Saccharomyces cerevisiae S288C: one gene and its partners. The gene in region 1 interacts genetically with each later gene. Each region holds a gene or a part of one and is shown on either strand. Other genes may lie near its edges. The genes, in order: CST26, CAT5, KRE6 and COX12.

Region 1 (8,020 bases):
AATGTCTGTTAAATGTTTTTTATCTCAGGTTCTTGCTTGTCTTTGGTAGAAGAAATTATAGTAAACAAACAAACAAACAAACAAAAAAAAAAAAAAAAAAATGGTCGCAATCTCAATGATTTGGTTTTTTACCAAGCGTATGCCCAGAATATTTGCATTAGCTTTTAATTTAATTTCAATATTTCTTTTGATTTTTCTTCTCATCGGCTGTTACAACCCGTCAAATCAGTCAACATTTCTAGTGAAGTATAAATTTGATGACAACTCACCTTTTTATACGATCATAGAGAAATCATATGAAAAATCAAATACAACTCTGGGCTTGGAGGAAGTCATTATAAGATCCGGTTACATGGGTGTTTGTATTGATAACATTCCCTCCCAATATAGCTCTTACAATAATATGACTACATTCTCCAATTCAATTTGCTATGCAAGAAAGAATTTAAGCTCGGTTCCCTTATACAGAGACTTGGAAATTCAACTCTCAAATATTGCATCTTCCAGCTCCAAAACCCAATCAAGCGTTGTCTTGAACATTTTGAAGTTAGCCCAATTAACTTCGGTTAATGTTATACATCCATATGTCTTGATGGCAACTGTAATCCTAACAATCCTAATGTTTCTATTTATTCTGTATGTAACTGTCCCTAAGTTACCATTCAAACTAGCGGTTAATAAATTTCTACTGTTGCTAAGTTCAACTATAGTTTTGACATGGGGTATTGGTGCGATGTGGACTCATGTAGGGATAAATGCAAGTTACAGATTGGTTCCATCATCAAGTATGAATATAATCACTGTCAAGAAGGGCAAGAAGGCAGCAGTAATGGCTTGGTTTAGCTTTGCATTCCTCCTTTTAGACAGTGTGGTTTTATGGTTAATATTTTTAAGGGATAGGAAAAGCTTGAAAGATGAAATTGATAATGTTCCATGTGCCCAAAATAGGTACAATAACTACTCTTCGGATTCATCTACATTGCATTCCAAAGTTTAGTTTTATCCTCAAATAAACATATAAGTTTTGAGCGGATATTTCAGAATGTCAATTTTTAAAAGTAAAAGGAGAAAAAATTTATATAATTCACGATTAACATTATATAATGTGATGAACTACTTAAAAAATTTAACGTTCGATAATTAAGTAACAACAGAGAAAATATGAGCTTACCTAAACTCTAATCATTACCGTCTGTTTTATTTACTGTCACCTTGATGAGCGACTAAAAAGATAGAACGCGGGTTTTTCGCGCAATGTAACAAAGCTCCAGAAATTTTTTATAAATACTAATGTTATAGCAAAAAAAATAAGGACCTTAAAGTCGTAAACTAAATTGAAAAGCCCAAATCATTCAAATTCTATATCGTTGAACTTTTAATAGGCTGCGAATACCGACTATGTCTCCCATACAGGTTGTTGTCTTTGCCTTGTCAAGGATTTTCCTGCTATTATTCAGACTTATCAAGCTAATTATAACCCCTATCCAGAAATCACTGGGTTATCTATTTGGTAATTATTTTGATGAATTAGACCGTAAATATAGATACAAGGAGGATTGGTATATTATTCCTTACTTTTTGAAAAGCGTGTTTTGTTATATCATTGATGTGAGAAGACATAGGTTTCAAAACTGGTACTTATTTATTAAACAGGTCCAACAAAATGGTGACCATTTAGCGATTAGTTACACCCGTCCCATGGCCGAAAAGGGAGAATTTCAACTCGAAACCTTTACGTATATTGAAACTTATAACATAGTGTTGAGATTGTCTCATATTTTGCATTTTGATTATAACGTTCAGGCCGGTGACTACGTGGCAATCGATTGTACTAATAAACCTCTTTTCGTATTTTTATGGCTTTCTTTGTGGAACATTGGGGCTATTCCAGCTTTTTTAAACTATAATACTAAAGGCACTCCGCTGGTTCACTCCCTAAAGATTTCCAATATTACGCAGGTATTTATTGACCCTGATGCCAGTAATCCGATCAGAGAATCGGAAGAAGAAATCAAAAACGCACTTCCTGATGTTAAATTAAACTATCTTGAAGAACAAGACTTAATGCATGAACTTTTAAATTCGCAATCACCGGAATTCTTACAACAAGACAACGTTAGGACACCACTAGGCTTGACCGATTTTAAACCCTCTATGTTAATTTATACATCTGGAACCACTGGTTTGCCTAAATCCGCTATTATGTCTTGGAGAAAATCCTCCGTAGGTTGTCAAGTTTTTGGTCATGTTTTACATATGACTAATGAAAGCACTGTGTTCACAGCCATGCCATTGTTCCATTCAACTGCTGCCTTATTAGGTGCGTGCGCCATTCTATCTCACGGTGGTTGCCTTGCGTTATCGCATAAATTTTCTGCCAGTACATTTTGGAAGCAAGTTTATTTAACAGGAGCCACGCACATCCAATATGTCGGAGAAGTCTGTAGATACCTGTTACATACGCCAATTTCTAAGTATGAAAAGATGCATAAGGTGAAGGTTGCTTATGGTAACGGGCTGAGACCTGACATCTGGCAGGACTTCAGGAAGAGGTTCAACATAGAAGTTATTGGTGAATTCTATGCCGCAACTGAAGCTCCTTTTGCTACAACTACCTTCCAGAAAGGTGACTTTGGAATTGGCGCATGTAGGAACTATGGTACTATAATTCAATGGTTTTTGTCATTCCAACAAACATTGGTAAGGATGGACCCAAATGACGATTCCGTTATATATAGAAATTCCAAGGGTTTCTGCGAAGTGGCCCCTGTTGGCGAACCAGGAGAAATGTTAATGAGAATCTTTTTCCCTAAAAAACCAGAAACATCTTTTCAAGGTTATCTTGGTAATGCCAAGGAAACAAAGTCCAAAGTTGTGAGGGATGTCTTCAGACGTGGCGATGCTTGGTATAGATGTGGAGATTTATTAAAAGCGGACGAATATGGATTATGGTATTTCCTTGATAGAATGGGTGATACTTTCAGATGGAAATCTGAAAATGTTTCCACTACTGAAGTAGAAGATCAGTTGACGGCCAGTAACAAAGAACAATATGCACAAGTTCTAGTTGTTGGTATTAAAGTACCTAAATATGAAGGTAGAGCTGGTTTTGCAGTTATTAAACTAACTGACAACTCTCTTGACATCACTGCAAAGACCAAATTATTAAATGATTCCTTGAGCCGGTTAAATCTACCGTCTTATGCTATGCCCCTATTTGTTAAATTTGTTGATGAAATTAAAATGACAGATAATCATAAAATTTTGAAGAAGGTTTATAGAGAGCAAAAATTACCAAAGGGTTTGGATGGAAATGACACTATTTTTTGGCTCAAGAATTACAAGCGCTATGAAGTCTTGACCGCTGCTGATTGGGAAGCCATCGATGCACAAACAATTAAATTATGATTTGATGTTCCTGAATTAGGATAAAGTATTTTTCCTTGCACGAGAGTACGTATGTAAACGTAATATTGATAAAGAATCAAAAAAAGTTTTATATCTATCTATATATGTACCTAATAACATATGGAAAGGATTATTTAAATTCAAAAAATAAAACAATAAAGTTTATAAACTAACCAAATTATTGTTAGAGTTGGTAATATTAGCACTTCAGTTAACTCAATACGATTGATCTTGAAACTATCGGTAACTGAATGGTTTGTTTCAGGATCACTTACGAATGATCCAGTGGAATAGTACCTTTCCATTAGAGCATCCTTCTCACTCCAAATTTTATACAGCCATTCTGAAAATTCATTCTCGTCCTCTAATGGAATATCTTTAACATCAAATGCTCTGATGTGAATATCGACTAACTTCGGGTATTTTCCTTCTAAAAATATGCTCTTCAGCCCATATATAAGCTCACCATATTCCTCCTGTTTTACACCGGAGTAGCCGATCGTAATATCATAAAGACTTTCAATACTTGGCTTCAACTTTTGTAACGAGTATCTTAGGCCTGTAGAATGAGGCAGTAGCACATTCTTGAATGGCTTTTTGCCTATTTTGGCAGCATATTTAGCACTTTTTTGCCTAGTATCAGCACTGAGATTTGTACCTTCAGGGAATAGGATAAGATTGTATGGCCAATGGATTTGTTTTGGATCAATAACCTCCGGATTCCATATGCTCTCTCCTTCCTCAGTTATGCGCTCAGGTGACTTTCCAGCAAGTGAGCCGGCGCCCCTTGCATTCGAATCAAGGCCAGCAAGGCTGTTGCTTAGGGTTATTTTGTCTTGTGCCCACTTTCTACTCATAAAAATGAAATTATAGTTTCTCATACCGAAACCGAGGATAGGAATGGAAGCCAACGATTTTTTTAAAATAATGAAGACATTAGCCCCTAAGTTCGATGTGTAAGCCAACCACCATAAAAATATCCAATCCGTGTATATTTGGTGATTGCAAATGGCCACCGAATTGGACTTTAGATGAGAAAGAATCCTTTTCTTCTTCAAGTCTAAAAAAAAAGTACCTTTAGGAACACTGGAATTTTCAGTGGTAATTCTCACTGCAGATGGTGCGACAACATGCAAAATGGATGATACCAAGACAATAAATAATCTTTTGGTTTTATTGAGACCAATTTGTTTCCTTATATCATTTCTACAGTAAAGAGTCTTATAGGTGAGTTGGAGAAACAAAAGAATAAGGCATCCCTGGAAGAAAATCAATAAGGAAATACCTGGGACGACGACTTTTCGAACTTTATGAGCTATTTTTTGATGCAGCATCAGCTTATTGACCTCGCTAGCAATCTCAATACCAGTGGACCTGATATATCCTTTTTTTTTGTTGGCTAGTGTTCATTAATGATCTTTCGCGTTTATATTTCTTTTTCTGATGAGTTTTTCGCCTCTTGAGATGTTGTTGAACATTATTTAATAATACTTTTAGCACAATAACGATTTACCATAAACTAAAGTAAACTATGTATGTGCCACCCTATGAAAAGTCTACAATGAAAATATTTACGCTTCCGTCTTATTAACCGATATGATTAATCAATTTTGTCGTACAATTTTTGTAAATCGTAGTTCTCTCTCCAGTAATCACCGTGCTTTTTCAGTATTATAAGTACACTGCTAGCACCCAAGACGATAAAGGCCAGCATTGTGAAAGCCCACCCAGTTCCCATACCGTTTAACATGGGTGTGGTGACAAAGACTGCGGTTGCAGCCAAGATTTGCCTTATTAAATTATTCAAAGCAACACCGGTGGCACCCTTTCCCGGCAATGAATCGACTAAATAGGAAAGGGTAGCACCAATTGTCATCATAGCTGCATATCCAAAGAGGGCTGTTCCAATTAGTGGCGTTACCCAGTGGCATTTTTTATCTAGGCACCAGCCAAATATCAATAGCGCAATGGGGAAAGATATTACAGATGTAACAACATTCCACGATATACGAGCTTCAGGAGCAAGAATTCCATATTTCTCTTTGTATCTTTTTAAAAGCATGTCCACCCAACGTCCACCGTAAATTGAGGCGAAAAAGTATGTTACAGAATTCGGAATATACAGTAGACCAATGTATAATGGTTTAAAGTTGTAAGGAGGCCTTGAATATTTATATTCAACTGTCATATTAACAAAGTATACTGTGGAAAAGGAAATTGCGGAAAATGTTATTGCAAGTGCCACGGGTGGATATTCTAGGAAGTGCAATGATTTTAAAGGCTTGATAAAATAAACAAAAAAGGTGTCCCAGACCTTCCTCACCGCTGATACCTGTTTAGGAGCGATTTCACCTCCATTACTGGATAGCACTTTTTTGACTTGCTCTTCCAGGTTGGTTTGTAATTTTCTCAGACTATTTTCTCGAATCGATCTCGCTAACTTTGGATCTGTTGATCTTATTCTCGTAACTTGTGCTGTTGTTGCATCGATACCGCTATCATCTAGCTGATATTCATACAGACTTCTACTCGCCTCTGTATAAATCCGTTGCAATTGGGTTTCTCCAGCTCGACCATCATAAGTATTGGGGCTAGAGTGACTTTCTAAATCTAGCGAGTCTTGATCCCTTACCTCTCCAACGTAGTTATGCTTCTCAGTAGATAATGTGGCAACTTGGTTTTCAATTCGATCTGTCTCATCTTCTCCCCTCTGATAATCTTCTTGTATCTCTCCACGTTCGTTATTGTCTACTTGAATACGTCTTTCAGCCAAAATTTGAGCGATAGCGCCTTTAGAATCTTGTTTTCTTAATGTTTCAGGTAGTAACACCGTCAAAAGAATGACATTACATCCGGATAAAATAACCATAAACCATTGAGTGGATCTCCAGGGCCAGCGATTCACTAACAAAGATCCAAAAATTGGAGATAGTAGCGGCGCCAGTAGTGGACCCAAATAGTAATAACTCAAATTTTTACCTCTATCTTCGCTAATATATAAATCAGCCACTGTTCCAGCACCTACACTTTGAACACTGGCAGAAGCAGCCCCACAGAGCATTCTCAAGGCAATAAATGAGTTGATATCAGGAGCTAGAGCAGACCCGATATTAAATGCAAACAATAATGCAAATGAAGTTATGTAAGTAGTTCTTCTGCCCTCTAGCTCGGATAGAGAAGACCACCACAATGGGAAAACACCAAGACTTAAAAGGTACACACCAATTGAAACGTTTACCATAATCACTGATGTTTTAAATTCTGTTGTGATTGAGTTGATCGCTGGAAAAATGATAGATGTGCCCATGGGGCCCATCATGGAGGAAAACGCAATCAAGAAGACAATCATCTTTTTCATCATCGGTGGATAATCTCTGGCATCCTTGAACTCCGGTATAATGGCGAGTTGAGGCAATAGTCCCCTACGTTGATTCTTTGGAACAACGTATTCCTCACTCTTCAACCTACTTAGCTGGTTGTCTCTGTGTTCACGACTATTTGATGCCGTACTTTCCAGATTGGTCTTTTCGTAACTATAATCGTTGTGCTCGCTGTGCGGGCTGCCGCTGCTTTCATCGCAGTGCATCATAACATGATTGTTCGGTAGTGAATTGTCAGAGCAATTACTCCTCAAAGACCCTACATTCGATTGTGAACCTTGGGCTTGCATGTTTATCGCTTTCTGACTTCGGTCCTAGCATAGACGTTAACAAGTTAGAAAGATGTGAATACATATGCCTTCAACCCTGTTTTCTTTTAAGGATACAAGGACACAGCTATTACAACAAATTTTGTTGGTTTCTATCTTATCTAATCGATAATCTTTTAATATTTTAATCTAATCGCAGTTATCCAAAACTGGAATGAGATGGTTCAAATCCCCAAAGGTAGATGGAGTTACTGCTGAGGCGTGGAAAAACCCGAGTTTTTCCGAAGCCGCATATGAGAAATTGAGCAGGAATAATAGATATTTACGAAGAGGTAAAAGTGATAAAAGGCAGCGCCGTGGCAATATCTATTTACAATGACTCATTCTGACTATTTAAAAGTATGTAAGGGCTTTATCTAGGCTTTGTGCCGTTCAGGCTTTTTGTATACACATGTGATAATTGTATTACAGCTTGTAAGTAATTCAATGAACGTTTCTACACCGGCTAAACAAGAATCCATTTTGCTCCATGGCTCCAAGTTTCCATCCTTTACTGTGTTCACCGGTTCTGAATTTGGAGAAAACTTGGCCATTGGAAACGATTTTTCGTTTATAGCGCCTGCTATCAGGCTATTGATCTCATAATAGTTGTACCCATATGCATTCTTAAACGCCACTTCTGATGGGAGAATAACTGCTGATAAAACAGCATTGATGCCTACCTTAGTCATGAAATTGGGTTCATTTGCTTTCAGTTCATTCAAACCTGGAATTGCCTTCAGTAGGGAGATGCCGTAACCTGGGATGAAACCTTTGGCCAGCCCATGACATAGGACGTTATTTAAGCAATTATCTATTGCATTTCTTCTTCTGTCGATTTCGATTTCGTTATGTCCACCAATGCTTAAAGTGACCGTATTTTGGAGGAAGGATTTCGGAACTTTATTTGGAATCGCTTCAGCA
Region 2 (7,728 bases), on another chromosome or scaffold:
TTTTCTCCACTGAAATCACGAATCAAACCTGGAGCAAAAACTAAAGCCAAATTATAAAGCGTCATTCGATTCCAGTGACTGTACCGTGTAACCTTTTCTATATGTTCACTCAGTACTCTTAACACCCTATAATGTTCCCTTGGAAGGTCTTCCAATATGTTTTTTAAAGCGCTCTTGCTCGACATATAAGTGTCCGAATTCTTTGCTTCTAAGGACAACTTTCCTCCAACAAATGGCAAGTTTTCCATCATTTTTTTAGATTTAACTAACCTCATCAACGGCTCGTATATTTGAAAGGTAAAGATAGGGTTGGGGAGCTTTCTTAAGTATCGCTTCAACACACCAGTAACAACGTTGAGATCTTGTTCCGTTAAAATATTTGGCGTTTCGGTATTTTGTTGTACTTTCCATGCAGAAAATTGCTTTTCTATTTCTTCTATGACTAGCTGGGAACCTGATTTTCTATAAATGCCCTCCGATCTCATATTTTCTTCGTCTGATTCAATAAAATCTATGCAGACAGATAGTATCATCGGTATTTCATTGTTTTCATAATTGCACCTAGCAACGAGACTTGAACCATACAAATTGCTTCCATCCAAATATTCTTCTCCATCTTTACTTTGTCCCATATTTGCATCGTTCTCGATAGGTACTAATCTAACGTCACTAAATTCATTAGGATTTTGTAGCACAGGTGGTGAAATTTCTAAACGGCCGGAATTACTACCAGATGAGGGAGCAGAAAGCAAAACTGGGGCACTTTTAACGATGGAATTTGTATTATTTGTACTGACACCTTGTATAGATTGCTCGGTCTGTGGCTTTGCAGATGAAAAAAACTTCCAAAATTTTGGTTTAACAGAACTTCGCGCTACAGAACTTGCAGTTGCAACATGTTTCACGGGTGGCGACTCACCTAAGCTGATTTCATTTATCATCGGTGGATTATTTGATAATTCATTGGAGTCAAGATATAGTTTATTTTTCTCGCTATTATAGGATTCAATATGTCGGCGTAGAGCCTCTTTCATAGACTTCATTTCAGTGATCTCTTTCATTAATTCTTCCCTTTGAGATTCAAGTTCTTTCAAATTTATTTTTAATTGCTTCAGATAGTGCTCTGCCGTGACAATTTCTTTATCAAGCGAGGGATCGTTTCTAGATTCGCTATTTTCGTAAAGTGTTTCCTTCTGTTCCTCAAAATTGTCGCTATTCTCCAATTGGGTCTTTGGAGTTTTCTGCCAACTAGGTATGCTATAATTTTGGTTACTGTATGAAGACCCATTCCGCCTATCAAATGTCAATGAGCTATCTAAAGGCGGAGTTCGATACATGGATACATTACTTGGTGTAGCTGGCGATTGTAACAAATGATCAATTGGTGACGGAGATTTAAAACTGTGATTCTTCTGTTCTTCAAGGGCGGTTTCCTTTCCACTAGTCACCCTAAGAGTGCCATTATCGGTAAATCTTTTATAGTTTAGGCTTTTTTGATTATTCACCAAAATATCTAAAGAAGTGCTGTTAGAATTTGGTGTGTCAAGGCCGGTATGTGAATCATTATCCCTCATTAAATCTTGTGAGCGTCTAGATGTCACTTTAGAAGCAGGTGAAAGTTTAACGTTACTATCCTGTTTGCCTGTGGCTCTGGATTTTAGATTAATCATCAAATCTTTGGACCTTCGTGACAATGATCTTGAAATTTTTCTGCCTTTTCCACTATTGTTTGAATAGGAATATTTCTCTGCTTGCTCTTGCTGAACACCTGCTAGGTCAGGAACACTTCTGTCTTCCTTGACAACTTCAACAACTGGCCTTTGAAGTGCGTTTGTTTCTTCGACAATATTATTCAATACTTTCCTTGATAGCGAAGGATCCATTTGGGATATTTCACCGGTGTTGAAAATATCCGTATTTGAACCCTTCGGATTTTTCATATTAACAGAAACTGGGCTATGCAATACCGAGGTCAACAATTCACTTGCATTTCGTGAACTGTTATTTGGAGGATCAATTTGATCGCTCTCTTCCAGACTATCGTTAACAATTATTCCCTGTCTATAGGAGCTTGGAGATTTTGCGAGATACTGACCCGAAGAATTTCTCAACGGTGTTTTATTTAACAAATTCCTCGAATGGCTAGGAGGTTCTTTACAACTTAGGGTTGGATCCGTAGCAACATTGAGTGACATATTCGCTGAAGGTGCTTCTGCTTCCTCTTTAACATCATCATTTACATGCTCCGTGCTATTTTCTTCCGGTCCTATAACATCTATGGACACATTTGAACCGAATTTTGAACTTCCAGAGTTGTCATCGCTATCGTTATACCCAGTGATAAAATGCGGAACAATATCACTCGAATTGGTTTCTATGTCCTTGGAAGGTTCAGAACCTGAAGGAATCTCATTAACTAGTGATGCAGGTCTGCTAAATGTTTTTTCTGGGAGGACTGCAGAAGCTGAGACCTCATCAGTATGGCCATTATCAATCACAGGTGTGGGTAAACTTGGTAAATTCTTTTTGAGTCGCCTTTTCTTCTCTTCGTAGTATTTTCGTTTGGCTAATAGCTTTTCGTGACAGCTTAAACAGAATAAACCTCGCTTGGTTTTCGCGTACCGTAGGTCAGCAATATTTTCACCACATTTACAGCATTTAAAACAATCTGAACAATAGGCCTCATTTGAAGAGGACAGTATTATGGCCAAATCATCAATCTTTTTACCGCAATTTTTACAAGAATCGGAACAATCAAAGCAGATCAAAGCACCTGTTCCAAGGACTAAAAAATCAGATTCGCAGCTTAATGGTTTCTCACATTTGTAACAAGCGAAACAATGTGTGTGCCATCTATCACAACCCAACTCATATGCATGCCCCGTGGTAATAAATTCTTTGCATCGTACGCAGGATGGAAATTGTTCATTGGGAGCAGTTGATGCCATTTTAATATGCCGCTCTCTCCACCACTAGTACCTGAATCAGCTATCCTTGTCTTGTACAAAAAGCTATAATAGAGATAAATGTCAAAACCGTGGTGCTTTTCAGTTTCTTAAAAATTTTAGTGATACCGATCAATTTTTTTTTCTATTTTAAGCAACTGTGAATTGATCAAGAATGTTGACTGATCAAAACTCAAAACACCCTATTTGGCAAAGAAATTTAGTCTGTTTGAGCAGTCCTACCCTTGGAAAACGTTCAATGAATTAGCCAGTTGGCTGATACAATCTCATCAAAGGTCAATAGAGAAAAGCACACGTTAATTATATCAAATCTAAACTCGAGAACTGCCTTTTTTTTTTTTTCATTTTTCCTAATACGGCATAAAGCGCGCAATAATAAGGGCACTTTACACCTTCTCATCGTGGTAACACATACGAAACCAAGAACTAGCCTCTACATTATCATCTGTTCGTACGCTTAAACTGTGACCAAATATGGATTACGAGAAGTTTCTGTTATTTGGGGATTCCATTACTGAATTTGCTTTTAATACTAGGCCCATTGAAGATGGCAAAGATCAGTATGCTCTTGGAGCCGCATTAGTCAACGAATATACGAGAAAAATGGATATTCTTCAAAGAGGGTTCAAAGGGTACACTTCTAGATGGGCGTTGAAAATACTTCCTGAGATTTTAAAGCATGAATCCAATATTGTCATGGCCACAATATTTTTGGGTGCCAACGATGCATGCTCAGCAGGTCCCCAAAGTGTCCCCCTCCCCGAATTTATCGATAATATTCGTCAAATGGTATCTTTGATGAAGTCTTACCATATCCGTCCTATTATAATAGGACCGGGGCTAGTAGATAGAGAGAAGTGGGAAAAAGAAAAATCTGAAGAAATAGCTCTCGGATACTTCCGTACCAACGAGAACTTTGCCATTTATTCCGATGCCTTAGCAAAACTAGCCAATGAGGAAAAAGTTCCCTTCGTGGCTTTGAATAAGGCGTTTCAACAGGAAGGTGGTGATGCTTGGCAACAACTGCTAACAGATGGACTGCACTTTTCCGGAAAAGGGTACAAAATTTTTCATGACGAATTATTGAAGGTCATTGAGACATTCTACCCCCAATATCATCCCAAAAACATGCAGTACAAACTGAAAGATTGGAGAGATGTGCTAGATGATGGATCTAACATAATGTCTTGAATGCAGTAATCCTTTGTACGTACTCTGTCTATATTTCCCTAACTTTTAAGCAACTGTATAATTTTTCATATACGGGATTTTCAGGAAAAAAAACAATAGAAATCTATAAAACATGTTTCCTTATTTTTACAGACGAGAGTTTTATTCTTGTGAAAACGTCGTTATCTTCTCCTCCAAACCAATTCAAGGAATAAAGATATCACGTATACGGGAGAGATACATAGAAATTATGTTATCCCGTGTTTCAGTTTTCAAACCTGCCAGCAGAGGCTTTTCCGTCTTATCATCTTTAAAGATAACAGAACATACATCAGCAAAACACACCGAAAAACCTGAGCATGCTCCCAAGTGTCAGAATTTATCAGATGCTCAGGCTGCATTTTTGGACCGTGTTATTCGTGTAGATCAAGCTGGCGAATTAGGTGCAGACTACATCTACGCTGGCCAGTACTTCGTGTTGGCTCATAGGTACCCTCACTTGAAACCTGTGCTAAAGCACATATGGGACCAGGAGATACATCATCATAATACTTTTAACAATTTGCAATTGAAAAGGAGAGTCAGGCCTTCCTTATTAACGCCTTTGTGGAAGGCAGGAGCCTTTGCAATGGGGGCTGGTACCGCATTGATTTCTCCAGAAGCAGCTATGGCTTGTACTGAAGCTGTCGAGACAGTAATCGGAGGGCACTACAATGGCCAATTGCGAAACTTGGCCAATCAATTCAATTTAGAAAGAACAGATGGAACAAAGGGTCCAAGTGAGGAAATCAAATCCTTAACTTCTACTATCCAACAGTTCAGGGATGACGAGCTAGAGCATCTAGACACCGCTATCAAGCATGATTCGTATATGGCAGTTCCATATACAGTTATCACTGAAGGTATTAAAACGATTTGCAGAGTAGCTATATGGAGTGCCGAAAGAATTTAACCACCAGAAAGTGGCATACATCAGTCGCGTTATGCCAGAAAAGGAGAATTGAAAGGAAAACGGTTTGATAAATGTCCTAATTAAACTATCATGTATAAAATTATGTATCATCCTTACGCATTTTAACGCTATATGACCAATATGACAGGAATAGATACACTGTCTATAATTATGTAAATGGGGTATGGGTTCATAGTCTAAGGGTGAGTACAAACTGGATCTTTAACAAGAGTAACAGTTAATTAGAGCAAAACTATAGTACATATAGCTTGAAAAAAACAAGCGGCTTGCCATTGGAAGAACATTGCATAAAAACGGGGCCACTGCTAATAATAAAGTGGTAATTAAAAAGAAAGCTTTTGTTCAAGGTTAAGAAGGTATAAGGAAATGCCGAACGAAGATAATGAACTTCAAAAAGCAATTGAGAACCATCATAATCAACTACTAAACCAGGATAAAGAAAATGCTGACAGAAATGGGTCTGTTATAGAAGACCTCCCATTATACGGGACAAGTATAAACCAGCAGTCTACCCCTGGAGATGTTGACGATGGAAAACACTTACTGTATCCAGATATTGCCACCAACCTACCACTGAAGACTTCTGACAGACTTTTGGACGATATACTTTGCGATACTATTTTTCTCAATTCTACAGACCCGAAGGTCATGCAAAAGGGCCTGCAATCGAGGGGTATTTTAAAAGAGTCTATGCTTTCTTACTCAACTTTCAGAAGTAGTATTCGCCCTAACTGCTTGGGTTCATTAACTGATCAAGTGGTTTTTCAAACAAAATCCGAGTATGATTCCATTTCATGCCCAAAATATAATAAAATACATGTATTTCAGGCGGTCATCTTTAATCCATCACTGGCAGAACAGCAAATTTCAACTTTTGATGATATTGTTAAAATTCCTATTTATCATCTTAAGGTTAGCGTAAAAGTCCGCCAAGAACTGGAGCGGTTGAAGAAGCATGTCGGTGTTACTCAATTCCACTCACTAGATCATTTGCACGAATACGATCGAGTAGACCTTTCGACTTTTGATTCTTCCGATCCTAATTTGTTGGATTACGGTATTTACGTTTCTGATGATACTAACAAACTGATCTTGATTGAAATTTTTAAACCCGAGTTTAATTCACCTGAAGAGCATGAGAGTTTTACTGCCGACGCAATTAAGAAGAGATACAATGCTATGTGTGTAAAAAATGAATCACTAGATAAAAGCGAGACGCCATCTCAAGTTGACTGTTTTTACACACTTTTTAAAATTTTTAAAGGGCCTTTGACGAGGAAAAGTAAAGCGGAACCTACAAAGACAATTGATTCTGGAAATTTGGCCCTTAACACTCACCTGAATCCTGAATGGTTAACGTCCAAGTATGGATTTCAAGCAAGCTCAGAAATCGATGAGGAAACTAATGAGATATTTACTGAATACGTCCCTCCAGATATGGTGGACTATGTAAACGATTTGGAGACAAGAAAAATTCGAGAATCGTTTGTGAGGAAGTGTTTACAACTGATATTTTGGGGTCAACTATCTACCTCATTACTGGCACCTAATTCTCCCTTGAAAAATACGAAAAGCGTAAAGGGAATGTCTTCATTACAAACTTCTTTCTCAACACTACCTTGGTTCCATTTATTGGGAGAATCCAGAGCAAGGATTCTATTAAATTCCAATGAGCAAACTCATTCGCCTTTGGACGCAGAACCTCATTTTATTAATCTTTCCGTTTCGCATTATTATACCGATAGAGATATAATCAGAAACTACGAATCTTTGTCTTCTTTGGATCCTGAAAATATTGGGCTGTATTTTGACGCACTGACATACATTGCAAATAGGAAGGGGGCATATCAATTGATTGCTTACTGTGGAAAACAGGACATTATAGGCCAAGAAGCTCTAGAAAATGCTTTGTTAATGTTTAAAATTAACCCTAAAGAGTGTAACATCTCCGAATTAAATGAGGCGACTTTGCTATCTATTTACAAATATGAAACATCAAATAAGAGCCAAGTAACCTCTAATCACCTAACAAATTTGAAAAATGCTCTAAGATTGTTGGCCAAATATACCAAATCTGACAAACTAAAATTTTACGTCGATCATGAGCCCTACAGAGCTTTATCCCAGGCATACGACACACTTTCAATTGACGAGTCTGTTGATGAAGACATTATAAAAACTGCATATTCGGTCAAGATTAACGACTCTCCCGGATTAAAGTTGGATTGTGATAGAGCACTTTACACCATTGCTATCAGTAAAAGAAGCCTTGATTTGTTCAATTTTTTAACAGAGGAATGCCCACAGTTTTCCAACTATTATGGTCCAGAGAAGCTTGATTACCAAGAGGCATTGAAGCTTCTTCAAGTGAATGAAAATGCCTCTGACGAAACCATTTTGAAAATCTTTAAACAAAAGTGGTTTGATGAAAACGTTTATGAGCCTGACCAATTTCTTATTTTGAGGGCAGCATTGACCAAAATCAGTATAGAAAGAAATTCAACTTTAATCACCAACTTCTTACTAACTGGTACGATAGATCCAAATTCCTTGCCGCCAGAAAATTGGCCAACTGGCATTAATAATATCGGGAACACCTGTTACCTAAATTCTTTATTA
Region 3 (8,819 bases), on another chromosome or scaffold:
CCCTTTGAGGCAGCAGGGTCTTCCGGATCTTCAATCTTCATATTAATCAGGGCATTATCCAAAGCCCTACCCATCAAAAACTCCAAAGACAAATAGTAAACTCTCTTTGGGTCTCTTGTGGTGAATTTCTGCTGAGTTTTGTTCCAGTCAATGACCAAATTGTCACGAATACTCATCGAAGCAGCTTCATAAGCAGCCATGTCATCACAATTATATAGGGAACGTGCTAATGTAGTTTCCACATGGTCAATGAATCTATCTTGAAAATCTTCTGCCTTGTTAAATTTTTTGACTTGATGCTTATTCCATAACGCTCTTGACTTTAAAGGAATCATCGTGTCAATTGACTTGATTTCTTGGGGAAGAAACCCCGTAAGTCTCCTTGTAAGCCTTGGGATTTGGTGTGGAGAAGTAGGTTCTTCGGTTATCATATCATTGGTAGTACTAGTACTAGCTGGCGGCATTGTTCAAAATTAAATTAAGTTGAAAGCTGCTTTACTGAAATTGTAATGTAGAGAAGTCAAAAAAGATCCAATTGTTTTTCTTTTGGATATTTTTAGTAATCGTTACCTTCTCAATCTGTGCTTACTTTATATTACAATAGCAAGCAGAAAAAACTTATAATACTTCGTACGTAATCAAAACAAAAGGTACAACAAGAAACGGGAAGGCACAAAGAATCTTGCTTTACTGCTATACAAACTTCATGCTCCTTTTATACATATAATATATTCGTCGGTGTTCCTTCCTTATCTTTGTAGCATGCACATGGTAGTTATTAACCTCCCCTGAAACTTTTTTAGCGAAAATTATCCACCCCTTACTTATTTCCTCGAGAGTCTCTAAAAAGTAAAAATACAATAACGGTAATTGGGGAAGGCGTTCCTTGTTAATTCAAAATGTTATCCTTGAAACATAGAAGGTGCTGGCTGCATCTCGCAGAGCTTCCTCTTCCGTTGAGCGTTGTATTCTTCCCCCCACAGTGCTACTAGGCGATGCCGCTACCCCTTGAAGGGCCTTCCCGCTGTGGGGCAGCGGCCTTTTTTCCTTAGTGGGAAACAAGCACCGGGGTATATTTCATTGTCTATCAGGAGAAGAGATCGTATACAAATGTTCGTGAGACGGTTTCATCTTGACTAGTTGCCTTGCTAGTCGGATAACTAGTGGAAAGCAGTAGGACACTCCCGATGAGTTTGCGTTTCCACGGGGTTTGACAGAGCTACCTATTGTCTTTTTCATCGAAGGAAACGGTAGTTGGACCTTGCCTTGGATAAGTTGGTGAATCATCCAGAGCTTTAGAAGGGAGCAAAAAATAAAATCTGCGCAAGCCCGGAATCGAACCGGGGGCCCAACGATGGCAACGTTGGATTTTACCACTAAACCACTTGCGCTTGTTATTTACATGAGTGTGGTACTTCTATTGATGGTAGGTGTTCCATTACTTTTTTCGTCTTAAGATGAGCGAGCAAACACAGGGAGAAAATAAAGCGCAATTATTTACCTCATAGGGTACACAATATCCGTGAGAAAAGGATGAATTTGAAATAATTATACAGACTCCTTTTTTTTCAACGTAAAATTATAAGCATAGATTAGAGGCGCTCCTGGATAATAATAGGAACACACACAAGTAAATCAGCAATTTCTCATATCGTACTTATTCGGTAGAGTTAATAATATTCTACTAAAATAACTACTGGTAAGTAGTGAGAGCTTGATTTTTGTACTAATAACTTGTTTCAAAAAAAAAAACGAATAATCAGTTTTACAAAAATGTGTATACCTATATAAACAATCTTAGAGGTAAAGTTCTCCCTCACTAAAAATAATAAAAAATTACGTGCAGATGAGAACCCCGTCTTACCTTAGTATACCTTTAGTTCCCTTTATGACCCGATTTGAACGATAAGTCTTTTATATTTTATTTCTTCCTAAAAGAAAAATGTATGCATTGTAAGTAACTTTTTATGACCATGGTAATAATTAAAGCCGAGGGCTTGTAGATTTACCATCAAAATACCCGCTTAAGAGGATAACTTGAACTTCGAGCTAGTACATTTACCAGTTAGGATATTCTTAGGGAACGTGTAACCAGCATCTTCCCAAGTAGTTAAGTTTGCATTCTGGAATGCATTTAAGTGCGATTGAATATAATCATATGTTGGATAGTCACTTGGATCGCATGTCACGGATATAGCATTACTTGGTTGGTATATTCTAACATAGTCAATCGACATAACCACTGGGAAGAAAATATACTGCCAATCAATATAAGCCCAATTGTTGGAAATACCCAGATTTAGAATAATCGACATTGGTTCTTTACTGATTCTTCTCCAACCAATATTACCATCAGGATGTAAGGCTTTAGCATGAATAGTATAAGTTGGAGTATCACCAACAAACCAACGGATATAACCATTGTCGTCATCGTTCAGATACTCAATGGCATATTTTTGAAAGTAGCCACCGTACTCACCGAATTCATACCAAGTTACGTTCAAAGTTGAGACAGCAGATACGGCTTGTTGAAATGGACCGCCAGCATAAGTGTTCATGGTCGTTGTTGTGAAATTGTAAACCTCGATAAAATCATAGTCAGGCATGTACCAGATATCAAAAGGTGCAATTTGCAAGGATTGAGAGGCTATACCTACACCAATCTTAGTATCAGTTTCACCTTCCAAAACATCAATTTCTGGAGCTCCTCTACCAACACCTTGATTCGGATGATCTTCACCATCACAAGTACAAATACTTAACTTTTGTCCCGGCAAGTAAGAAATACCATCCGGGGAACTTTGGTTGGGTGTAATACCAGCATCACACGATTCATAAGAATAAGGCCAGACACCTTGGGTACTAGCCAAATAACCGGGCCTCCCTAAATTACCCATAGTCCAAAGACCGGGCCACAAACCTGAAACACGGCCATAATTTGGTAGATTTGCAGAGATTTCTAGAGCACCCTGCGTGAAACAAACCTTATTCCAACTCTGCAACATACCTGATCTGTAATATAAGCCATGGTTCTTAAAGGCATCCATTCTCAGCTGCAAGGTTCCGTTCACAGTTGTGGAAGCGTCTGGACTGTACCATTCTAAATCCTTAGTAGCATCATAGTGAACATCAGGGGCTGTCCAGTATGGATCATCCCCATCATAAAATGTTCTGCCTTCTGCATTAAACTCATCAGAAAATACTAATTCCCACTTAGAGCCATCCATAGCTTCTCTTGTCTTCGCTGTATCAGGTGTGTCTGGGTCAACCAGAGATGTTCTAATGGCGGATAGTTGAGGATATTGGTATTGAGTTAAATATGTAACTTCTTCAGTGTTGCTTTCGTGATCAATAGCACCGGTAAAGGTCAACGCTGGCAAAACAATAAAAATAAAGATGGCTGCCAGAAACAAGAGCAATACACCAGCTAGCCCACTAGCAGACCTTTTATCCATGTACTTGAAGTCATCTATGAACCTCCTTCTATCCAGTCTTGCCTCTTCTTCGGGGTCAGGATTGTGTAAATAATCATCTTCTTCCTTTTCATCTATCATAAGTGGGAACGATGAAGCAGGATACCCACCAAATGGAGAAAAATCTTGCTCGCCCAAAAACGGATTAGAAGAGAATGAGGCGGACGACTCGTTTCCTGGAGATGATGTTGGCGAGCGACCATGATGGTTCAGTTGAGTCATAGAAGTGACTCTGGAACCCACTAAGGGATATCTATCAAATTCTGGCGGTGAGAGAATATCATTCTTCGATAAATTAGAATTCAAAGAAGGAGAAGAGGCTATAGCTCTATGTGGTGGCTGAAGAAATGAGTTATCATTAGCCGTACTCACAGCTCTACTATTGTTCCTGGAATAGTAACCTTTGTAATCAGATACACCTTTATTTTGACTTAGATCTAGACGAGAATTGTCATGAAGTAGTGAAGAGTCACTCCCCTGTGGCTGATAATGAACAGAAGAAGACAGAGATTCTCCATCCCGCGCATTAGATTCTTCGTCACTCCCCATAAAAGGGTTTGTGAGACCAGCATTATCGTTGGTGCTATTGTCATTTTGTTGTCCAAAAGAAGGAGATGAGGAAAGAGGAGCACCATCATGATCGTCGCCTGTACCATCTGTGTCCAGGTTTGTGCTACTAAAGTTGTGCGTTTCAGTTAGATTTCTCAAAGGCATTAGAGTAAAGGAGTGAGTGGTATACCTATTCTGTAAACTTTAGATGATTTAACGAGAGAAATGTTGTGCAACTACTAACTTGCCTTAGTAGAAAAATTCTAACAACAATATATTTATAGACGATAAAGTAATGAACACTAGTACGAGAGGACGAATACAATAACAATATGCAGCTTTCTCGAGCACTTGCAGCAATACGAAAGCTTTGGACTGAAAATAAAAAAAGAAGAAAACGTTAGTGATTCTTAAGTGCTTCTGTAAGCTAAAAATATTTTAACGGTTGTTGTTTTCGACGTTCCTAGTTAAATTTTATCAGAAGCTGTTTTATTCTGTGTTTTCACCAAAAATAGCGTTAACTTTCATCTGATCAGGAATATGAAAAAAAAAAAAAAACTGTCCAAATAGAGCGTATGTGATCTGAAGTCTAGAATTTACCGCTTCAGGATGATTCTTTGGCGTTTTGCGGGTAAAACGCCTTTCAGATCGCGTCACACTTGCAGGCTGAGAGGAAAAAGAAAAGAGGGGAATGAAAATCACTAAGCCACAAAAACAATAAAGATAATTTTATACGAAATATACATTTTGTATTCCATAATCAAAAATTAAAATGGACGAGTCCGGAATCGAACCGGAGACCTCTCCCATGCTAAGGGAGCGCGCTACCGACTACGCCACACGCCCGAATCTTGTTGTAAATTGTTGTATTACGGGCTCGAGTAATACCGGAGTGTCTTGACAATCCTAATATAAACAGTCTTAGGGAAGTAACCAGTTGTCAAAACAGTTTATCAGATTAATTCACGGAATGTTACTTATCTTATATATTATATAAAATATGAATCATACTAAGTGGTGGAAGCGCGGAATCTCGGATCTAAACTAATTGTTCAGGCATTTATACTTTTGGGTAGTTCAGCTAGGGAAGGACGGGTTTTGTCTCATGTTGTTCGTTTTGTTATAAGGTTGTTTCATATGTGTTTTATGAACGTTCAGGATGACGTATTGTCATACTGACATATCTCATTTTGTGTTGGAATAAAAATCCACTATCGTCTATCAACTAATAGTTATATTATCAATATATTATCATATACGGTGTTAAGATGATGACATAAGTTATGAGAAGCTGTCATCGATGTTAGAGGAAGCTGAAACGCAAGGATTGATAATGTAATAGGATCAATGAATATAAACATATAAAACGGAATGAGGAATAATCGTAATATTAGTATGTAGAAATATAGATTCCATTTTGAGGATTCCTATATCCTCGAGGAGAACTTCTAGTATATTCTGTATACCTAATATTATAGCCTTTATCAACAATGGAATCCCAACAATTATCTAATTATTCACCCATTTCTCATGGTAGCGCCTGTGCTTCGGTTACTTCTAAGGAAGTCCACACAAATCAAGATCCGTTAGACGTTTCAGCTTCCAAAACAGAAGAATGTGAGAAGGCTTCTACTAAGGCTAACTCTCAACAGACAACAACACCTGCTTCATCAGCTGTTCCAGAGAACCCCCATCATGCCTCTCCTCAACCTGCTTCAGTACCACCTCCACAGAATGGGCCGTACCCACAGCAGTGCATGATGACCCAAAACCAAGCCAATCCATCTGGTTGGTCATTTTACGGACACCCATCTATGATTCCGTATACACCTTATCAAATGTCGCCTATGTACTTTCCACCTGGGCCACAATCACAGTTTCCGCAGTATCCATCATCAGTTGGAACGCCTCTGAGCACTCCATCACCTGAGTCAGGTAATACATTTACTGATTCATCCTCAGCAGACTCTGATATGACATCCACTAAAAAATATGTCAGACCACCACCAATGTTAACCTCACCTAATGACTTTCCAAATTGGGTTAAAACATACATCAAATTTTTACAAAACTCGAATCTCGGTGGTATTATTCCGACAGTAAACGGAAAACCCGTACGTCAGATCACTGATGATGAACTCACCTTCTTGTATAACACTTTTCAAATATTTGCTCCCTCTCAATTCCTACCTACCTGGGTCAAAGACATCCTATCCGTTGATTATACGGATATCATGAAAATTCTTTCCAAAAGTATTGAAAAAATGCAATCTGATACCCAAGAGGCAAACGACATTGTGACCCTGGCAAATTTGCAATATAATGGCAGTACACCTGCAGATGCATTTGAAACAAAAGTCACAAACATTATCGACAGACTGAACAATAATGGCATTCATATCAATAACAAGGTCGCATGCCAATTAATTATGAGAGGTCTATCTGGCGAATATAAATTTTTACGCTACACACGTCATCGACATCTAAATATGACAGTCGCTGAACTGTTCTTAGATATCCATGCTATTTATGAAGAACAACAGGGATCGAGAAACAGCAAACCTAATTACAGGAGAAATCTGAGTGATGAGAAGAATGATTCTCGCAGCTATACGAATACAACCAAACCCAAAGTTATAGCTCGGAATCCTCAAAAAACAAATAATTCGAAATCGAAAACAGCCAGGGCTCACAATGTATCCACATCTAATAACTCTCCCAGCACGGACAACGATTCCATCAGTAAATCAACTACTGAACCGATTCAATTGAACAATAAGCACGACCTTCACCTTAGGCCAGGAACTTACTGAATCTACGGTAAATCACACTAATCATTCTGATGATGAACTCCCTGGACACCTCCTTCTCGATTCAGGAGCATCACGAACCCTTATAAGATCTGCTCATCACATACACTCAGCATCATCTAATCCTGACATAAACGTAGTTGATGCTCAAAAAAGAAATATACCAATTAACGCTATTGGTGACCTACAATTTCACTTCCAGGACAACACCAAAACATCAATAAAGGTATTGCACACTCCTAACATAGCCTATGACTTACTCAGTTTGAATGAATTGGCTGCAGTAGATATCACAGCATGCTTTACCAAAAACGTCTTAGAACGATCTGACGGCACTGTACTTGCACCTATCGTACAATATGGAGACTTTTACTGGGTATCTAAAAGGTACTTGCTTCCATCAAATATCTCCGTACCCACCATCAATAATGTCCATACAAGTGAAAGTACACGCAAATATCCTTATCCTTTCATTCATCGAATGCTTGCGCATGCCAATGCACAGACAATTCGATACTCACTTAAAAATAACACCATCACGTATTTTAACGAATCAGATGTCGACTGGTCTAGTGCTATTGACTATCAATGTCCTGATTGTTTAATCGGCAAAAGCACCAAACACAGACATATCAAAGGTTCACGACTAAAATACCAAAATTCATACGAACCCTTTCAATACCTACATACTGACATATTTGGTCCAGTTCACAACCTACCAAAAAGTGCACCATCCTATTTCATCTCATTTACTGATGAGACAACAAAATTCCGTTGGGTTTATCCATTGCACGACCGTCGCGAGGACTCTATCCTCGATGTATTTACCACGATACTAGCTTTCATTAAAAACCAATTTCAGGCCAGTGTCTTGGTTATACAAATGGACCGTGGTTCTGAGTATACTAACAGAACTCTCCATAAATTCCTTGAAAAAAATGGTATAACTCCATGCTATACAACCACAGCGGATTCCCGAGCACATGGAGTCGCTGAACGGCTCAACCGTACCTTATTAGATGACTGCCGTACTCAACTGCAATGTAGTGGTTTACCGAACCATTTATGGTTCTCTGCAATCGAATTTTCTACTATTGTGAGAAATTCACTAGCTTCACCTAAAAGCAAAAAATCTGCAAGCCAACATGCTGGCTTGGCAGGACTTGATATCAGTACTTTGTTACCTTTCGGTCAACCTGTTATCGTCAATGATCACAACCCTAACTCCAAAATACATCCTCGTGGCATCCCAGGTTACGCTCTACATCCGTCTCGAAACTCTTATGGATATATCATCTATCTTCCATCCTTAAAGAAGACAGTAGATACAACTAACTATGTTATTCTTCAGGGCAAGGAATCCAGATTAGATCAATTCAATTACGACGCACTCACTTTCGATGAAGACTTAAACCGTTTAACTGCTTCATATCATTCGTTCATTGCGTCAAATGAGATCCAAGAATCCAATGATCTTAACATAGAATCTGACCATGACTTCCAATCTGACATTGAACTACATCCTGAGCAACCGAGAAATGTCCTTTCAAAAGCTGTGAGTCCAACCGATTCCACACCTCCGTCAACTCATACTGAAGATTCAAAACCTATATCTGAAATCAATCTTCGTGCACCCAGAGAAGTTGACCCCAACATATCTGAATCTAATATTCTTCCATCAAAGAAGAGATCTAGCACCCCCCAAATTTCCAATATCGAGAGTACCGGTTCGGGTGGTATGCATAAATTAAATGTTCCTTTACTTGCTCCCATGTCCCAATCTAACACACATGAGTCGTCGCACGCCAGTAAATCTAAAGATTTCAGACACTCAGACTCGTACAGTAACAATGAGACTAATCATACAAACGTACCAATATCCAGTACGGGTGGTACCAACAACAAAACTGTTCCGCAGATAAGCGACCAGGAGACTGAGAAAAGGATTATACACCGTTCACCTTCAATCGATGCTTCTCCACCGGAA
Region 4 (7,231 bases), on another chromosome or scaffold:
CGTATTAACCAATACGAACAATGATGTAATCATATATTCACCTGTGACAAGTTCTTCAATCAATAATGATAATTTACAAGTCATAAAACTTCCTACAAAGACTTTCAATAATCATATTGCTTTTGTAAAAATTAATTCTTCCTTGAGGTTATTTGCTACTTATGTGTCGAACAAAAACATACTGCTTATCCACAATCTAGAGACCAATATGTGGTCTAGTTTTGCTGACCAAAACGTGTTGGATTTACATTGGCTAGGTGATAATTATTTGGTTTGTCATATGAAGAATGATGATGGCTCAACAAATCTGAAATGTCTGCAGATTCCACTGCAAGAAGCGAATCCGGACGTGGAACTATCAGATTATGTCATGTGGGAATACAATGTTCCAGAGAATACGATTGTTTTCAGTTTACATGTTAATACTTTATCCCGGTATAAGTTGTTGAAAATGAAATCCAAGAATCACAATGCTTCTGAAAAACAACCTGATGCATTGCTTAAAACTGCCGAGATTATTTTAGTTACTGATACACAGACAATTGTCTTCGATGTAATTTCTACTGTACATCCATGTGGATTAAACATCATCAAAAAATTCTACCAGTATCTCAAAATTAACATTCCAATTGATGTTTTACCCAACAAAATTGAGTGGATAATTAACATGAAGGAGGGCTTGTTATTTTTTGCCGATAGGAAATTTATAAAGCTTGGCAAAGTGGATGGAGGGGGCTGGCAAACCTTAACTTTGTTGGATAACATAGAAAAAATAATCGATGTTATCAGGGACGAAATATTTGTAGTTCAAGGCCATAATTACGTCGTATACTCTTTGGAAGATTTATGGGATGATAAAAAGCCACTAGTTTCCATTCCAATCGAAGAAGATTTGTATCCAATATCAACCACCCCAGAAACAGCTACAACACATACACTTCACTGCATTTTTAACGCGCGATTTTCCAAATTGGTGGTGAAACACCAAATATACCTCGACCAATTAATCTTAGCCAAATTAGAAGACAACACAGATTTGGAGGATATTTCACACAATTATCGTTTTTTAAAGCCTTACAAATTTGCACTCGAAAAGATTTTGTCTACTAAAATACTGCGAAGCGACTCTTTGGATGATATCCTGAAATTAATTAAGATGTATGACAACACCGATCCTGAGCATAATATTTCACCACCAACCCACAGTGGTATGTTAGAAATTATTAGTAATTGTTTAAGGAAGATCGAAACTAAATACTGGAACCATCTATTCACTAATCTAAAGATGACACCAAGAGATTTATTAGCACTCTGTATCGAAGAAAATGAGGCTAAAATGCTTGGCGTACTTCTGTTAGTGTTTTTAAATTACGATGAGAAAGATTTGGGAGATGATCTACATTTTAAGAAATCAGATTTAGGGACTGAGGAAAGCAAAGCTCTAAATGATAACTCTACAAAAAAGTCAGAGAAATCTGTCACTAATTTATTGAAGGATGAAGAATTAATGCTTAAAGTCTTAGAGCTTTTGGTGACAAGTGCTGCAAACGCCACAGACCCAATTAAAGCTACCGATTCGTGGGACATGTGTTTCCAATTAATACGCTTACTCAAGGAATTAGACAGAGAAAACAACACACAATTGGTTCAAAAAGCACTCGAGAGATTCAAATAAATCTATATGACACCATGTATTCTTTACCATATAGCTTCATAACATTGACCAATCAATTTTCAGAAATGCGTCGCGCGTAGTTTTGCCCGATATCCCCATCCCTTCAGGATCTTTAAAAGGTGATGAAAGATGCACCAGATAGAAAAGTTGCATTAAAATGATTAGCAGAGATATACAAATATTTTAGTAAGAATACATAAAGTATCTTTGCTTTCACAAATAGGAACAAGCACATAAATACAGTATAATAGACATGGCTGATCAAGAAAACTCTCCACTACATACAGTTGGTTTCGATGCTAGATTTCCCCAACAAAACCAAACAAAGCATTGTTGGCAATCTTATGTGGATTATCACAAGTGTGTTAATATGAAGGGCGAAGATTTTGCTCCGTGCAAGGTCTTTTGGAAGACCTATAACGCCTTATGTCCCCTAGACTGGATCGAAAAATGGGATGATCAAAGAGAAAAAGGTATTTTCGCAGGTGATATCAACTCAGACTAAGGATCTTAGTTTCGTTTTTAGTAATGTGCACTTAGCCTTTTTTATATCATTATTATTAATTACTAGAATTCATTTTTGCGTAGTAGACCTACACGGGATGAAGGATATCTATATGAAAAGTAAAGTAACAATAGGAGATAATGAAAAAGTGATATCATACGCTAACGAATGTTCATGATGGAGCCAAATTCCTAAAAATCAAACAAACAGAAAAAAATGAGAATGATGTGGGGTACTGAAGTTTTATTTTTCATATTTATTTTTAATTATAGTAAGTAGCCATTTCTATATATATTCAAAAATTATTTGACCCTCGTAACATCTGCCACTGCACTGAAAAGAACAAGGCAATGGATAACGCTGATAAAGACGTCAGCATGAACTTTCAATTCACTGAGATAGCAACATTTTCGAGGATTATATAAGGGGTACTAATCTCTTCTAGTCATCGTTTGAAATACATTCAGGCTGAGAAAGATAAACGCTGAACATGTTGAGAATAAGGCACTTCCTGGGACCTACTAAAAGATAATAATATAGTATTTGAAGAGACCTTCATCAACAGCCTGAGATCGGCACACATCCTTCACAAGCGCCCCAGTTCCAGACTGAAGTACACATTTCTATCTCTTACAGTCACTACTTGCGATTGCTACTACTAAACGAAATGATGGCTGATTTCTGAATGTCAATTCTTTACTTATTGTTCTATCAGGCTAGAAGGATAGTAACATAAACTTCTAAAGTACCTTTAAAGAGCCTCAATGCACTGCCTTAACAAGCAAATGACAATTTTCCTATCAATTGTTTCACGAAATACGTTTGTCGTAATTTTACGCATTACAGGTCAGAAGGAGACTAGATAAGGCCGATTCTCCGAGTACTGTTGAACCACAGGCTTCAGCAAGTGAAAACCAACAGACAAAACAAGGAAAACAGCAAGATTAACCGTTTATATTTGCTTCTACTACCTCAACGGAGAATGGAGCAGGCCTTTGAAAACGCTCCTACTTTTGAAATTGCCTTTGTAAATATTGTATCTCCAGCCGCGCTTAGCTAAGTGGATATCACTAGATTAAAAAACACTCTCGAGCTACCCTATGAAGACAAGATTCATCCATAAACTCCCTAAGTGGGTATCCATTAGATGCCAACTACTTCACTCATGCAATACATACAGCAATTGCAAGACTTGTGATTTTAATCCAAAAGAAACTTCCCTGGGTGTCATGAACCCAATCAATGGCCGTAACTCTTCGTATGGTCAGTTTATAACTCTCAATCACGTTTCCTCGCTCATACCCTAACAGGTACGACTCCTCTGATCATATAGAGGGATTTTAATGTTTCTGATTTGGGAAACATTCAATTTTTCTCCTGACAACCGTTTAGTGTCAAACATTGGATATTGCCCTCGTTCAGAGGGCACAGAATAAAATTTGATTTCTGGTTCATTTTCTTGGCCAAAGATTAATTGAAGTTGTCAAGGCATGCCAAAACTTCCTTTAAAGGTATCATCCCTGTACCGAACATTCCTGTGCTCCTGTATATATCATAATAAGATATAGGTAGTACAAAGGCGCGGATCCGTATACGAGATCTATAAAAAAAGCATTGTTGAAGAAAGGGCAACTGCATATTTGTAGTGGTGAAGAGTATGGGATAGGGGAGCCCAAGTAAGAGAAATATCAGCAGTGAAATAGCTATTCAACAATTTATCTGTTCGTCCGTCGCTTATTAAAAAACGGCATATAAATAGAGCAGCTTTGATTAACTCTTTCCGACAATTTGGCATTGTTATTTACATTCGAGTGAGCTCACATCTTCACTAAAAAGATCTACAAAAGTTCAATCGAAAAAAATGGTCAAACTAACTTCAATTGTTGCTGGTGTCGCTGCTATTGCTGCTGGTGTCGCTGCTGCCCCAGCCACCACTACTTTATCTCCCTCTGACGAAAGAGTTAACCTGGTCGAATTAGGTGTCTACGTCTCAGATATCAGAGCTCATTTGGCTGAATACTATATGTTCCAAGCTGCTCATCCAACTGAAACTTACCCAGTTGAAATTGCTGAAGCTGTTTTCAACTACGGTGATTTCACCACTATGTTGACTGGTATTCCCGCTGATCAAGTCACTAGAGTCATCACTGGTGTCCCATGGTACTCCACCAGATTGAGACCAGCTATCTCCAGCGCTCTATCCAAGGACGGTATCTACACTGCTGTTCCAAACTAAGCCGATGGCCTCACAATTGGTATTTAGCACTGGATTGCTTTACGAACGGATAAAAATAATTATGATTTGACGGTAAGAAATAATTAGATATACATACGTATACAAACATATATATGTATTACAGGTACTTTTAATCAGTTGCACTGTGTTCAAAAAGATATTTTTTAAATGCGGGGGGAGATTCAAGTTTTGTTCTCGCATTTAAATTTCTGCATACAATTTGTACTTACAAGAACCTTATACGATTCCAGTTGAGACACGTACTGATATATTAATGATCATATTAAGAATCTTAATGCTTAAAACTTCTCTTCAATTCAGCATTTGATCTGTGGCAAGTTAATCTTGTTCCATTTAACGTGGATTTGACTTGCCATGATCTTCCCATAAAGCGGTAAATAGCCTTTTTGGTAAAAAATTGAAAGTTTAAAAGTACGGAACAAACTTTCGAGTTTTTCCTCAAAGGCCCTTCACAACACACGAGAACTAAAAGGTAGTTAAGACAGGAACTTGCCGTTAAAGTTTACTTTCTCCTTCAAAGTATAGGAAATAATGAAAGAGGCAGAACTTAGTGCGACAGAAAGCCAAGATGAGATCCCAAAGTCTAATTCCTTATTAATTATAGAAAAATTAACAAAGGCCGTTTGTAGCCTTTATTTTATAAATTGTTTTATGGTGCCATCAGTAGATAATTTGATTGAAAAGTACCCAAAAGCAATCATCATTAAGATCATAGATATGATTCTGGGGGCGGTAACAATTTCCCTCGTTATTATAGTTTTCTTTTTATATCGAAAGAACGGTCATTTTAAAAATGAAAATAAAACAAAGCCAAAGAGATGTTCGAAGGTAGTATGTCCCAGCTGTGCTGCCAGAAAAAAGTATCCTAAATGGTTTCAGCTAAAGTATTTGTTATTGGTATCAATGACTGCTTTCAGCTTCTACTTTTGTACCAAAATTAGGTTTTTTTTTAAAACTGACCAAACTATTAATTTACACCGACTATCACAGCTATTTAGATTGCAGCTAGGCTGGATATGTACTACTGCATTATTATTCTATTTTTACGATGCGTTGATATTACATAGCGGGTTCATTGAAGGGTATAGATGTGTCAATGGAAAGGGAGCGATGTCTGAAGGTAAAACCGGGCAATTAAATTGAGGATTTTACCTAATATGTATTATTTTGGAATTAGCTTGAAATGTGAAGGTATCATTTTACTGTTGCATATTGGATAATTGGTAAAGTTACGCAAAGTATTCAATATCATCTTCTTGCATTACTCGACCATTGAGAATAATTTACTATATAGTTTGAATACGAGATTACACCTCGACAAAAGTAGTTCTATTATTTGCACGTAACAATTATCAGAAAATGGGTGAACTTCGTATTAATTGTTGGGATTTCGTTGTTGATATTAGGTATACAAAATATACTAGAAGTTCTCCTCAACAGTCTTGGAATTCACGAAAGGGAGTTGATAGTTCTGATAATAAAATCACTTTGTCTTCCTTTCTTTTATACTTTGTCATTCATTATTCTACTACATTATCAATTTGTTAGAATGAAACTCTAAAACATCATCTGTTTAGTAGTATTTGCGTTACTAGTCAATTATGATCGTTGACTCTTATTCTAACAGCTAGTAATATTACCCCCGTTACGTATGAAAGTGTTGGAATAAAAATCCACTATCGTCTATCAACTAATAGTTATATTATCAATATATTATCATATACGGTGTTAAGATGATGACATAAGTTATGAGAAGCTGTCATCGATGTTAGAGGAAGCTGAAACGCAAGGATTGATAATGTAATAGGATCAATGAATATAAACATATAAAACGGAATGAGGAATAATCGTAATATTAGTATGTAGAAATATAGATTCCATTTTGAGGATTCCTATATCCTCGAGGAGAACTTCTAGTATATTCTGTATACCTAATATTATAGCCTCTATCAACAATGGAATCCCAACAATTATCTAATTACCCACATATATCTCATGGTAGCGCCTGTGCTTCGGTTACTTCTAAGGAAGTCCACACAAATCAAGATCCGTTAGACGTTTCAGCTTCCAAAATTCAAGAATATGATAAGGCTTCCACTAAGGCTAACTCTCAACAGACAACAACACCTGCTTCATCAGCTGTTCCAGAGAACCCCCATCATGCCTCTCCTCAACCTGCTTCAGTACCACCTCCACAGAATGGGCCGTACCCACAGCAGTGCATGATGACCCAAAACCAAGCCAATCCATCTGGTTGGTCATTTTACGGACACCCATCTATGATTCCGTATACACCTTATCAAATGTCGCCTATGTACTTTCCACCTGGGCCACAATCACAGTTTCCGCAGTATCCATCATCAGTTGGAACGCCTCTGAGCACTCCATCACCTGAGTCAGGTAATACATTTACTGATTCATCCTCAGCGGACTCTGATATGACATCCACTAAAAAATATGTCAGACCACCACCAATGTTAACCTCACCTAATGATTTTCCAAATTGGGTTAAAACATACATCAAATTTTTACAAAACTCGAATCTCGGTGGTATTATTCCGACAGTAAACGGAAAACCCGTACGTCAGATCACTGATGATGAACTCACCTTCTTGTATAACACTTTTCAAATATTTGCTCCCTCTCAATTCCTACCTACCTGGGTCAAAGACATCCTATCCGTTGATTATACGGATATCATGAAAATTCTTTCCAAAAGTATTGAAAAAATGCAATCTGATACCCAAGAGGCAAACGACATTGTGACCCTGGCAAATTTGCAATATAATGGCAG

Evidence for each region.
Region 2: mutations in CST26 (region 1) and CAT5 together harm fitness more than expected from each alone (negative genetic interaction), as found in Saccharomyces cerevisiae (2 studies listed by BioGRID).
Region 3: mutations in CST26 (region 1) and KRE6 are lethal when combined (synthetic lethality), as found in Saccharomyces cerevisiae (one large-scale study listed by BioGRID).
Region 4: mutations in CST26 (region 1) and COX12 together harm fitness more than expected from each alone (negative genetic interaction), as found in Saccharomyces cerevisiae (one large-scale study listed by BioGRID).

What each region holds. Positions count from the first base shown.
Region 1 is NC_001134.8:316,868-324,887, forward strand, and holds CST26 (putative acyltransferase), read right to left. Parts: upstream 4,743-8,020; coding exon 3,549-4,742; downstream 1-3,548. Other genes in the region: FIG1 (Fig1p), read left to right, coding at 101-997; long-chain fatty acid transporter FAT1, read left to right, coding at 1,399-3,408; QDR3 (Qdr3p), read right to left, coding at 5,009-7,078; TCM62 (Tcm62p), read right to left, coding at 7,474-8,020. UniProt on the Saccharomyces cerevisiae protein: Acyltransferase with lysophosphatidic acid acyltransferase (LPAAT) activity. Fatty acyl substrates include 18:0-acyl-CoA, 16:0-acyl-CoA, 17:0-acyl-CoA and 14:0-acyl-CoA.
Region 2 is NC_001147.6:556,390-564,117, reverse strand, and holds CAT5 (putative monooxygenase CAT5), read left to right. Parts: upstream 1-4,386; coding exon 4,387-5,088; downstream 5,089-7,728. Other genes in the region: GTPase-activating protein RGA1, read right to left, coding at 1-2,948; IAH1 (isoamyl acetate-hydrolyzing esterase), read left to right, coding at 3,441-4,157; ubiquitin-specific protease UBP2, read left to right, coding at 5,476-7,728. UniProt on the Saccharomyces cerevisiae protein: Catalyzes the hydroxylation of 2-hexaprenyl-3-methyl-6-methoxy-1,4-benzoquinol (DMQH2) during ubiquinone biosynthesis.
Region 3 is NC_001148.4:852,951-861,769, reverse strand, and holds KRE6 (beta-glucan synthesis-associated protein KRE6), read right to left. Parts: upstream 4,188-8,819; coding exon 2,025-4,187; downstream 1-2,024. Other genes in the region: GPH1 (glycogen phosphorylase), read right to left, coding at 1-464; YPR159C-A (uncharacterized protein), read left to right, coding at 1,355-1,456; YPR158C-C (gag protein), read left to right, coding at 5,513-6,835. UniProt on the Saccharomyces cerevisiae protein: Involved in the synthesis of (1->6)- and (1->3)-beta-D-glucan polymers of the yeast cell wall in vivo. It is required for full activity of beta-glucan synthase in vitro.
Region 4 is NC_001144.5:219,870-227,100, reverse strand, and holds COX12 (cytochrome c oxidase subunit VIb), read left to right. Parts: upstream 1-1,928; coding exon 1,929-2,180; downstream 2,181-7,231. Other genes in the region: RIC1 (Ric1p), read left to right, coding at 1-1,675; seripauperin PAU23, read left to right, coding at 4,042-4,416; YLR036C (uncharacterized protein), read left to right, coding at 4,969-5,580. UniProt on the Saccharomyces cerevisiae protein: Component of the cytochrome c oxidase, the last enzyme in the mitochondrial electron transport chain which drives oxidative phosphorylation.